3 linked regions of the Oryzias latipes genome follow. The protein of the gene in region 2 binds, or shares a complex with, the protein of the main gene of each other region. Links are inferred from orthologs where the notes say so. Each region holds a gene or a part of one and is shown on either strand. Other genes may lie near its edges.

What was found.
Region 1: mks1 (region 2) and tmem231 share a complex: the UniProt entries of both Homo sapiens proteins name them as parts of the tectonic-like complex. The link is inferred for Oryzias latipes from reciprocal best matches to the Homo sapiens genes MKS1 and TMEM231.
Region 3: mks1 (region 2) and transmembrane protein 216 share a complex: the UniProt entries of both Homo sapiens proteins name them as parts of the tectonic-like complex. The link is inferred for Oryzias latipes from reciprocal best matches to the Homo sapiens genes MKS1 and TMEM216.

What each region holds. Positions count from the first base shown.
Region 1 is NC_019864.2:27,556,902-27,561,282, forward strand, and holds the start of tmem231 (transmembrane protein 231), read left to right. Parts: upstream 1-1,578; 5' UTR 1,579-1,857; coding exon 1,858-1,996; intron 1,997-3,688; coding exon 3,689-3,855; intron 3,856-4,381. Other genes in the region: gamma-aminobutyric acid receptor-associated protein-like 2, read right to left, coding at 124-179, 929-962. UniProt on the Homo sapiens protein: Transmembrane component of the tectonic-like complex, a complex localized at the transition zone of primary cilia and acting as a barrier that prevents diffusion of transmembrane proteins between the cilia and plasma membranes.
Region 2 is NC_019872.2:25,018,146-25,021,768, forward strand, and holds part of mks1 (Meckel syndrome type 1 protein), read left to right. Parts: intron 1-1,168; coding exon 1,169-1,273; intron 1,274-1,684; coding exon 1,685-1,793; intron 1,794-1,908; coding exon 1,909-1,965; intron 1,966-2,398; coding exon 2,399-2,441; intron 2,442-2,523; coding exon 2,524-2,586; intron 2,587-2,660; coding exon 2,661-2,731; intron 2,732-3,623. UniProt on the Homo sapiens protein: Component of the tectonic-like complex, a complex localized at the transition zone of primary cilia and acting as a barrier that prevents diffusion of transmembrane proteins between the cilia and plasma membranes.
Region 3 is NC_019868.2:30,553,077-30,557,125, reverse strand, and holds transmembrane protein 216, read left to right. Parts: upstream 1-1,157; 5' UTR 1,158-1,707; exon of another isoform or gene 1,708-1,830; 5' UTR 1,831-1,905; coding exon 1,906-1,915; intron 1,916-2,213; coding exon 2,214-2,227; exon of another isoform or gene 2,228-2,298; coding exon 2,299-2,392; intron 2,393-2,416; exon of another isoform or gene 2,417-2,497; coding exon of another isoform or gene 2,498-2,537; coding exon 2,538-2,630; intron 2,631-3,413; coding exon 3,414-3,615; intron 3,616-3,681; coding exon 3,682-3,697; 3' UTR 3,698-3,817; downstream 3,818-4,049. Other genes in the region: transmembrane emp24 domain-containing protein 9, read right to left, coding at 174-274, 790-922. UniProt on the Homo sapiens protein: Part of the tectonic-like complex which is required for tissue-specific ciliogenesis and may regulate ciliary membrane composition.

The sequences.
Region 1 (4,381 bases), on a different chromosome or scaffold from region 2:
GATGCCTGACTTATCATACATAAGCATCCAGGCTGGTTGGATGTCAGAGATTTCGGTATTGATTCCCTCTGATCATCTCTGCATTTCCATTTCCGATAAAAGCACCCAGCCCCCACAACTCACCGGTACTCTGTCCGGGTATTTGTTGCGTATTTTGGCTGACTCCACACATCGGTGCTCTGAGGAAAGAGACAGCAAACAAACAGGAAGTCAGAGATTAAAGGGATCAGTGCGTCCTCTGGGGATTTCCTGTCTTCAGCCTTGAACAAGCACAACACAAGATGGGGGAAGTGTATGTTTCCCACTCATGATCCTCTGTTTCAGAGGAATAGTACAACATCTTCATGCAAATTCATTTCAGACACATGGATGTGCAGGGAGGATGGGAGGAGTGAGTGAGTGAGGGGAGGACTCCATCTAGGTTCATTAGCCCAGATAAAAGTTCTATCTTCAGAGGTGCTTCTTTAAAAAAAAAAGAGTCCTCAAGGTTATCCAATTACCATGAGAATGACAAGACAAAACTTCACAGAAGGATCTTATATAACACAAACTAGGCCTAATAGAAAAAAACAGTAAAAATAGATTAAAAAAAAGGTTGTTTTTTTTTAATCCACCATACTTTTTTAAGTAATGCATGCAAAATATTGAAATTAAAGCAATACTAGATGATGATGCAATGCTTTAAATGGCGTTTCTCTTGAGGTGATCCTAAACAACCTGCAGCAAATGCGTGTTAGCATGATCATGCCAAGCTAAGCAGGATCGATTTCCGGCAGGCTCCTGCGAAAACCCCGCGTTAGTGTGTCTGTGATGGGTGGTGGAGCCACATCGAAGGACACACAGTCCGCGGAGCAAAAAGGAAAAACACGCGACATGAAAAGAGGACATCTCTCTCTGGTTTCATAACAACAACCCAAACCCTTTTTACCGAGGGAATGGTCCTCTTTAAACATCCATTTCATCTTTGCTGGATTCCCGCACTGATGCGTGACGGCAGGGGCGAAAGGCGGGCTTCACGATCAGCTAACCCTGTTGGGGGTTCAAACTTGCAGAAATCCTGCCCAAAGCGACCAAAACAAAACGTCAACAAAGAGCTTCTGTTGCTCAGCTGTCCGTCTCGCGGAGAGGTGACGTCACCGTCTGGCTGTTGGTGCTCCTGGTGCGTTCAAGTGCGCCCAGCAGTGCTCGGTCCAAAAAAATCCTTGTAGTTGGGGCTGTTGACAGACACGCATTAATATCTAGTTTCTACATTAATATCCTTCTAGTTTAATGAAAACAACACCAAAGAAATACAAAATTAATACAGTCAGACTGAATAAACAATGAAACAAAAATGATACATTGAAATGCCTTAGAACGGTCATGGGCATTTATTATTAGAAACACAATTGTATAAAAAATTTTAATGCTTTTATTTGAGCTTTTATTTAAAATTAATAGTTCCCATAACAACGTAAAAAGATAATAATATATGGGAATTTTCCAGGCATGAAATGAAATAACTACTTTTGTGCTTTTACTTAATTTCAGGACCACAGAAGAGTTTCAGCATTCCCCACAGTTCATGAATGCATCCTGAACCATGGTAGCCATGGAAACCGAGGGACGCTGCAGAAATATGGCGGGGGGCTCGTTTCCTTACATGTTGCAGGGGCTAGCAAAATAGCATTTCAACGCGAAAAGTTATCAGAAAAATATGAATTTACTGGCGTTTAGAATCCAGAGGAAGATTTTTTGGAGTTTCTTAACGACCAGTTTAGGTAGTATCGACATTTTTACGCCGGTAATCATTTAGTCCGCTACTAGGTTAGCATCTCCAGCTGTAGCCTTACAGCTAGCTGTCTTTACACCGAACGTATGGCTTTCTACGAAGTGTACTCTCATCCGGCTGTAATTCGGTACAAAACCAGTGTTTGCACAAAGGCTACGCTGTTCCTGGTTGTTGTTTTGTGCCTAACCTACATCCCACCTCTGCTTGTTGCTTATAGGAGTCAAGGTACAGTATATATATCGAGGCTTTAAAGTGTCCATTTATTTCATTTTGAACAAAAGAATATATTATGTTTTTGTTAAAGTCTTTGTTTATGCTAGAATATAAAAAAAGGATTTTTATTATCTATATTACTTTACACGTTACAAAGCCTATGAGTAAAGCCAGGGCCTTTTAAATAAAGTTTTATTAGTCCAGTAAAAATAACAAATTAATAACATTTCAGCAATATTTCATTCCATTTTTACTCAGATTTATTTGATTTAGACAACAACTATTCTCTTTGAATGCATATGAATAAGCTTTTATATTAAATAACCCAAGTTTTTACAACTTTTGCTTTAAGTCTAGATATGAGTTGTTTTCAAAATGACTAAATCCATTTGTGTCTGTTGAAAGATTAGCCTTAAATCTGTTGGATGTGTTTTGATTTGATTGATGGATTTCATGCAGCTTTCAGCTCTAAAATAAAACAAAATATATACATATATATATGTGTGTATGTATATATAGTATCATTTTAAAATATTAGTTCCTAAACTGGTTTGAGAAAAATAAAATGACAGAAAATGTTTTTATACACTTGACATTACAATGTATCATAAATAGGTATATCTACACCTATTCATACAGTACACACGTGTGCAATACATTGAATCCATAAAATATTATGTTTTTTAAATAGAGTTTGATTAATTGGGTGGGAAAGAAGTGAATTTATAATCCCACACCTATTAAATTTTACCAAACTTTTTTTTTTTTGACATGTTTACAATTTTCTTCCAAATAGGTGGCCGAGCCTTTTCAGTGAATGGGGATCGCTGCAGTGGGATCTTCTGGGTCTGGTTCTTGCATCTGGGGAGTCCTGTAGTGTATTCTGTGAACTTGGGTGGGGCTCACTTGTGAGGACGGTTTATAATTTCCCCACAAAGCCGGATTTCTACTTTCTACTTTGCATCATTTTAGTGAATCATTTGATGCACTACTATAGTGTGCGTGCATGTGTGCGTGCATGTGTGTGTGCGGCGGGGGGCATTTTATGCATTGTATACATATTTTTTGTCTTGCTTTTGGTTTTTTAAAATTGGATTATGTTTTTATGTAAAACACTTTAAGTAACTCAAGTTGGAAAAACTGCTCTATAAATAAAGTTTTATTTGATTTGAATGTTTCAAATCCATTACAGGAACAGAATTTACGTTGTGTTATTTTCATGCTGGCTTTCATTGCACATTAGTGCCTTTGCTTGTAATACAACAGTAACCCATATTACCATTCAAAAATGCCCTTATTAATGCTGTGGAACAAATGTGACAAAAATGCTGCTATTTTGAACTGAATTATTCGAACATATTTGGTAAATGATGAATTATGCTTTTAAAACGTCTTCTGTAATTTTTAAAAATGGGTTCAAATGTAAAAAATGCCATGGAAAAGTCAGAAAAGTTGTTGAATTCTGGGTACATCAGATGGACATGTTTTCTGCATGACAAACCTTGTCAAGAAGCAAATTCCATTCCAAAAAAAAAAAATGAAGCAAATTCTATAGGAGATTGTGGGAAGTTTGGCTGAAGGATTCTAATAGAAATCTTATGCTATTTTATGTTTGGTTTTTGGTTTGATGGTAACATAGAATTAGAAGAAATCTCAACGTCAAAAAGTTCCTAAAACCTTATAGTTTTGTTTTTTCAATTTCAGGTTTCTGGTTAAAGCGAAGCACGTATGAAGAACAGCCGGTTGTGAGGTTTCAGTACCAGACTCTGATGGTTGCAGCCACCGGCACTCAAGGGGACTATGTGGCCTGGAGTACCTTCCCACACCTCAACAACATGCTGGGGCCCAACCTGCGGATCCCTGCCGTCTCTGTGAGAACACATTTGTGTATCACTGATATGTGTGACACTTTTTCAAGTCTTAAGAACCACATTCCTATGTCATTGTGTAAGCTGCATTTCAAAGCATTGCTCCTGTTGCCATGGCAATCTTTCATTGATTAGCCCTGATGAAAAGCTGGTCCATGCTTTTTGTTTCTATACTTTAAACCAAAACCTTAATGTGTCTAAAATATTTCTTTAAGACAAATATCTATTACCAGAAAAGTATGTTGCTGTGCGTTTACACACAAACCCATTTACCTAAAAATGATCAGAGTACAGACAAAGAGAAAGTACTTCTGTAGATCCACACACAGTTTTTGAAGAAAATATGACCAATAAGGTGTTAACACTGTGAGAAACGAGTTTTTTTTTTAAACTCAAGTCCACTTAGAATACTTACTGGCCCGCTGGGATCTTTGGCCCTTTTGAAATATAAGGTTTGTTCTTAAATCACATCACATTTTTGCTATACAGGCAAGCGTTTCAACCAAATGAACCCAGAAAGTTGTTGCTG
Region 2 (3,623 bases):
ATGGACAAAACTGGAGTTATTATTTTTGGTTCAGTTGAGGCCCGAAATGGTGTGGCTCAGAAATTGGAGTCTTTGTCTAACAATGTTTCTTCAAGCTGCAGAAATCTGGGAGTGAAATTTGATACCAATTTGAATGGGGAGACCCATGTTAAATCTGTGGTCAAATCTTGTTTCTGGCAAATACAAAGGTTATACAGAATAACCTCTCTCCTATCAAAAAAATGTCTTGAGATGGTGATTCATGCTTTTATTTTTTCCCGTCTGGACTATTGTAACGCACTCTACACATGTCTTTCACAGCAGAGTGTGTATCAACTCCAGTTAGTCCAAAATGCGGCCACCAGACTCCTAACCAAAACCAGAATGAGAGACCACCTCACTCCAGTTTTAGCGTCTTTGCACTGGCTCCCAGTCCATTTTAGAATAGATTTTAATGATGCATTAATAGTGCATTTAAAGCACTCTGTGGTCTGGCCCCTAAATATATAGCCGATCTCCTCATTCCTTACGTACCTGGTCGCAATCTTAGATCTTCGGCAAAAGGCCTTTTAACAATCCCACAATCTAGATTGAAGATCAGGGGAGACAGGGCCTTTGCTGTAAGAGCCCCAACACTCTGGAACAGTCTCCCTGAAGAGATCAGGCTCGCTGGGTCCCTACCATTATTTAAATCTCTTTTAAAAACCCACCTCTATAGGAGTGCTTTTAATGATTTTACCGGTTCTTAAATTTAAACATAGGATTTATTTAAATTTTTTTTTTTTTATTGATTCATTGATTTTAACTGCTATCACTGTTTTGTGTGTGTGCTGGGTTTTATTACTACATACTGTAAACTGTTTGTAATCCGGATTTTGTCTCATATTAATTGTACAGAATTTAGTAATCTCGTTTTCGAAAAGTGCTATATAAATTAAGTAAATTATTATTGGTACTTAGACTGAGGATAAAGCTTCTCTACATGTATTTTCTACATCTGAAACCAGACAAATCATTGATGTTTTGTATGATATTTTCCCTTGTGCTATTTTGTGGGGTCCAGATGCACATACCCCACAAGACAGCACAAGGGTTGTAAGAGGTAAACTTTTTAATCTCATGACATGCAGAGCTGGCCAGTGCAAAGCTCTACTAACCATTTGACAGGATGTTTATTGTGAATTTTCAGGCTTGGTCAAAAAGAGAACGAGTGCCTGCTGATAACTATAAAAACCGACGGCCATGGAACTATAGTTGTAAAACCTGACTTCAACAAAGGCCGAGAGCCCTACAGGCAAGTTTACAAGGCTTCTGTGATGGCTGAGAATGAATCCTACATTTTTTAGCGTATCATTTAACCCTTGTGCTATCTTAGATGACCCCACCCTTGCATTGACGTGTAATTCCTACCATGACAAAGGTGGATAAAGGTGGAAAGATTTCATGTAATCCATGGACACCAGTGAAGATCACAAATCATTGAAGAAAAAAAGTTCAGAGCACTGAATAGTGGGTCTAGATGACCCAACTCCCAATGGTAAAGTGCCTAGGATAGCACAAGGGATGAGTAGAATGGCAGCAGTAAGCTGCAAATCCTAAAACGATTGTATGTTTAAAAAAAGAAAAAAGCAAAGTACATTTAAAACCACAGCAAAAATAATAGAGTGAATCAGACATTTAACCGGACGTTTGTGTCGTTGGACAGGATTGTCGCTGAGGGAGAAAACCGAGAAATATGGCGTCTTACTTTTGAGAACGTATCAAAAAGCATGAAGCCAGAGGAAAAAAACAAGGAGCAGAACATGTATAAAGATGTGAGTCAATATCAGCATTTTCTAATAAACCAGGAAAGAGATTCAGAACATTTTTATTGCTAAAATGGAAGATGAAAGCTGTAATCAGGATCAACTTTGTCCCTCCTCTTTATAGCTGTATGTGAGGCACAAAGAGTTCCTCAGTGGTCTTGTTGGACAGGACTTTGAAATGGTAAGGCGTTTTTTGTTTTAAACTTTATTTTTATTGATTTTTTGTTACATGAAAACAAACCACAAACTACATTCAAAACAGAGGTCAATCCTGTGTCTATTTGTTGAAAAGTGTCCATTTTTTCCACATTCGGTGTTATTGTGACTCTTGCAGTCTCAGCCTGTATGTTATTGTTTCCGTTGAATAAATGTCGTTAATTGCTGGTAAGGCGTTTTAATGTAACGTTTTTAATTCAAATTTTCAATGCTTACCATGGTCTAAAAAAAAGACAAGTATGTTATGATCTATCAACTATATACTAAAGAGCAAATTCTTACATTTGAGGAGTTTTAGCCAAAAAAAGGTTTAAGGATTAAGGTTTAAGGATAGTTATCACTTGAGTAAATGTTGACTTGTATTTAGGTTTGTGAGCTATGAGATGTGTGTTGTTTAGCCTCCTGCAGGTACACTGCGTTACCTGATGAACGGAGAAATAGGTAAGTCAAAAGGCAGAGCTAACTTTAGCAGTTATATATATATAATACACGTTTAGAATTAATAACTACTATTTTTTTACAGTCTCAGCTCAAGGCTTTGAATATGACAACTTGTACATACACTTCTTTTTGGAATTGCCCAATAGTAAGTCTTAAGTATCAGTAGTTGTTTGATTGTTGTTTTTGCCTCTTTAGCTGTAACTGATGTTTTTCTTTCAGATTGGTCCAGTTTGCCTTCTCAGTCTCTATCAGAGGTCACCCAGACCTGTCGGACCAAGTCTCTTGAAAAGGTGTGAACGTTTTGCATACGCTTAGCTTGAAAAGCTACACAATTCCACAACAGTTTATCTAAAAAAGTCTTCAAGACTAGCAATTGCTGAGTCGACAATGAACGTCTCTGCCGAAACATACCTTTAAAAGACTGGAAAAGTAAGAGCATCAGTGTAGGAGAGTGCAGCAGAGGCTTAGTTAAAGCATAAAGCTCAGCCACAACTTGCTGTCTGTCTGCAAAATTCTGTAACTGGAAATAAAAGAATCCATAAACGGCTTTGCCACCCTGGACACACCAGTCCCCAGAAGCTAACCGGGGTAACGCCTGATTGTTTCTTTAATGAGAGATTGTCTGGGACTACTATGTGCTGTAAATGACTGCGGGCACACAGTGGGCACTCTCCAGTGTTTCCATGTGCCTGTCCCAAGTCTGGTTAAAGAACAGGGTTTGGCATCTGCTGTACAACTGAAGTCAAATGTGCAAGTCTTGACTGGGCGTCCCTTTTAAGCTAGATGCCCAAAGGAAAAAGGCCCTGTAAATGTGTAGAGACAAAAAACAAGTTTGTCAAGTGGTTGTTGCTTTAAGGTGCATCTCGGTTTTGTACTGACAATGCATTCCTGTATATTTTCTGATACTTAATGGCTTACATTTAGAAAAAAAAAAATCTTGATTGCTTGCATGTAAGAGACTAGGGAGCCGGTTTAGCTCGTGCTGGTTTGCGGCGCCTTCCGTCTGTGGAAGTTCATGTTTTACTTCGAAGCCCATCGAGACGACTGTTGTTGTGATTTTGGACTATACAAAGAAAATTGAATTGAATTGAATTGAATTGAAACCCAGGTTCAAATCCGGGCTGCTCCCTGTTCCCTTCTCTACCTCTGTGCCGGTCCCAAGCCCGGTTGCTTTGAGAGGCT
Region 3 (4,049 bases), on a different chromosome or scaffold from region 2:
CTCCACCAAAACCTCCACAGAAGACTAACAGCAGCAGCTCCAAGTCCTCCTCTGGATGTTTACGGAGGTCAGGACGCGGTTGCCGTGGTTACAGAGACCATCTAACGAAGAGACCTTCCTCAAAGTGAGCATCACGGCACTAACGTGTCAGGAGGACCTCCTCCGGCGCTTACCTTCTCGTCAGGATCCTTGACCTCCACAAACATGCCCAGACCCGGGCTGGCCGGCAGGTACTCCTCCTTCTGCTTGTCGTACAGCTGCGTGCGGTAGTTTCCTGCACACAAACACAAGCGCCCCACAGTCAGTGACAACATCCGGCTGAACGCAGCACTTCCGGTCCTTGGACGCGCTGGTCAGGACCGTTGGACCCGCTTTCCCGGTTCTGCAGGAACCTCAGGGAGCGACCGGTCCCAGACAGCTCCTTCAGAACGAACCATCATCAACTCTGGTCCGGACCTCCACCTGCTGGTTCCTCCTGGAGGAGCTGCCTGCCCATTCTCCAGGAGAACCGCTTGGGTTCCTGGTCTAGGTTCGGGGAACGGGCTGGATTCTTCAGGCGGTTTGGTTTGTTATCCGCGTGCTGATAGGATGAAGTTAGCTTAAACCGTCCTCCGTTCCCCGGTAAAAGACCGATCCTACATCCTCACCAACTTCTACTACGAGGTGTTCGCCAACGTCTCCGTTCATCAAACGGTTCACTAACTACTTCTGGCGGCGTTGGGAAACTTTTTGACGGCGAACCGGAACTTTGTGAGCGTTAGCCGCGCGGCAGCTAGCTTAGCCGCTCACCGATGATCATGGTCTCGTCCGGGATCTCCTCGATGAAACATTTCTTCTCGAGCTCTCCGATGTGGAAGTAGAGCGCGGGCGCGCGGCTGCAGAAGAGCGCGAGCAGCAGGAGCGCCAACACGCACGGCTGCATGCTGATCCGGACCGAACCGTCTTCCAGCCGGAACCACCGAGCTCAGACGGAGTCTGCGCGTCCGCAGCAGTGCCACGTAAACCCTGGCGCGCCTTCGACCAATCAGAGCGCTGCGATGGCAAGCTGGGTATTGTAGTTGTGTGCTGGGCAGAGCGGATGACATCAGAACCAGATTGTGAAGGTTCCTCCTCCTCCTGGAGTCACTGTGGGTTTTTTAATTCAACTTCAAAGGATTACACATTCATGTAACTACAATAGAAAGACATAACAAAAGAAAAAAAGAGTAAGATACAAGACAAATAAATAAATAACATTAGAACCGTAGTTCAGAGAACTAGGGATTGTCATTTAACATGTGATCTTCAATGAAAATTGACAGTTTTATTGCATTTAAAATATAAACAGATCTCTTTATGAAATGTATTGAATAATGATTTGATTTGTAAAAATCTGCCTTTTATAGATGAAAAATTTCCCAAAAATTAATAAAGTATTAAATGCCAAACTAAATAAGTTATCACCAGAAACGACTCCAAATAATACAATGTGTAATACAATGTGTTTTGTAACCAAATAGAAATAAGAAAATTTGAAGAGAACCACCAAAAGAAATCCTCCCAAAACCTGTTAGTATTTATACATTTAATAAACAGATGATCAAGTGTTTCTATGTTGATGTCGCAGAAAGAACAGTTATTTTCTTTAAATGAGGTCTCTGAGGGTCCAACAGGAAACAGCAACAGAAACCCGCATGTCACGTGATTTCAGACCATTGATGATAAAAGGTAACATCGACTAATTATGTATTTAGAGTGATTCAGTGGTGAAACTGAAGAACATCCATTAATAAAATAATGTGAAATTGTTTCAAATATTAGTGTCTTCTGTTTGCTCATCCTGACCAGCAGGGGGCAGCACGGAGCCCCGCCTGACGCTGTCCAGGGAAGAAGAGCCGTTTCCATAGCGACCACAGCGGCTCAAACATGGCGCCTGGTGAGTGTTTTCTTATCATCGTCGCAGAAAGAACGGCGCAAAAACCGCAGGCCGTCTTTCCCCGTCATTTTTCTGCAGCTATCAGAGACGGACGGAAACACTTCCGGTCCGCCGTTGATTTCCGGTTAGCGGCTAAAAACATTCCCACTCGGTGTTTACCTCTGAAACGTTCTTAAACCACCGTCTAAAGCTAAAGATAATCCGGTCCAACAACCGTCACGTCTCCTAAACGCTTCTTAAGCCTCACGTTCAGTTTCACTCTCAGTTTGACAACATTTTTGTCTCACCGCGTCTGCAGGGAGCCGACCAATCGTATCCTTCTGCTGTCAGAGGGGGCGGGGCCTGTCCACCAGCCGCAGTTGTCCTTGACCACGCCTCCTCAGCTGTCCTCCACGCCTCTGCAGGTGCTGCTCTACCTGAACAGCTGGTACTTTGCCGCTTTCTACCTGGCGGAGATCCTCATGTTCATCTACAAAGGTGTGTGGCCCCGCCCCCCTGCAGGTTCACCACGGCTTCACCTGAGAATGAAGCCGAAGGTGTCGTAGAACCTCCAGCCTGTCCTCTGTTCCTCTGCTGGACGTCATGGAGGAGCGTCTGACGGTTGCTGCTGGTGTCGCTGCAGGGATCCTGCTGCCGTACCCGTCTGACAATCTGGTCCTGGATGTGGTCCTGCTGCTCCTCTTCCTCGCTCTGGAGGCTCTGCGCATCTTTTACGGTGACGCCAAACACAAACATCTGCTTTGCTTTCTCCAGAACCGCAAGTGCGGCTGAGAGGTTCTGGAGAACAAAGATGGAACATGCAGGATGAAGAGGATGCAGACGGGCCTGACATTGGTGCTGGATGAGCTAACGTCAGAACAATCACGGTTCTATGCTAGCATGGAAGTGTCAGAAAGACCAAGAATGTGGTTTTCAGATTTAAAAAGGACTTCAGAGCATGAAAGGCATGCTGGGATGTGTAAACGATGATGATGCTGGAGATCAAAGCAGGAAGAAGCTTGGTTCCGTGTGTGAATGTGTGACCTTCATCGTTGTGTTCGGAGCTCCGCCTCTGAAGGTTCTGTTGAAGCGGAACCTTCGGTGCAGAACCTCTCCACGCCCGTCTGAGCGGTGGTCCAATGAGGAGAGAGCGTTCTCACTCTTCACCTGGACGGCCTCCCAGACGGAGGTGGAGGGTTCTCCTCCTGGGTTCCAGGGTTCTGTCTGTGGAAGTGACATGACCCCCCCCCCCCCCCCCCACGCCAGAATTTATATCCAGCTATGAAAAAATGATCAGTTGTGTTTTTGCTTTCAAGTTGAGGCTAAATGAAAGTCGGTTTGAGGAGGAGTGGTTCTTCCTTGCACCAGTGGGCATGAAGGGGTTAAAGCATCTCTGCAGACGTTTGCTGCCTGGAAACATCAGACTCAAACCTGCGGCGAAGCGTTCAGCCGCTCAGGCTCTGTGCTGGTTCTCAAGGCCGGCTGCAGGCGCTGACGCTGTCCCCCTGTGTCGATTCAGGCTGGAAGGGGAACCTGTGTGAGCGCTCCCTGACCTCCTGCCTGTCGCTCTTCATCCTGGTCTCTTGTGCGGCGCTCGCCGTCTACTACCTGCTGCTGCAGACCTTCGTTCTGCGGCTGGAGTTCCTGCTCTGCGCCGTCCTGCTCTGCTTCTACGGCCTGGAGTTCCTGCTGGGATTCATCGCCTTATCTTCCTTCTCCAGGTACCCTGAGCCCGCAGGCCGGTTCTGAGAGCCGGGAAGTCTTTGACCCTCGATGTTCTTGTGCAGGTCCAAGGTGTACTGAGGACAGAAGAGCGGTTCTCTGGAGCCCAGAGGGACACCAGGACAGTTGTTAGCATATGTGCCGCTGACACAAGTTTCTGTGATTCTTCAGGGATTTTTGTAAATAAACATTTTTCTGCAGCTTTGTGAGTTCTGTGTGTCACCAAAATCAGATGAAGCCGGCCACGGGCCACTAGAACCTCCACAGGTCTGAGTTTCAGCTGGAAAACCTTTGATCTGTGTTTGCATGAAGGCTGTCCGTCCTCTTTTCTTAGGAATCACGAGGCCGTCCCTCAGCTGTCAGTGCGCAGAAACATCTGCGCAGAAACGCAGACGGGTCCATCTGCGCAGAAACGCAGACGAGTCAATCTGCG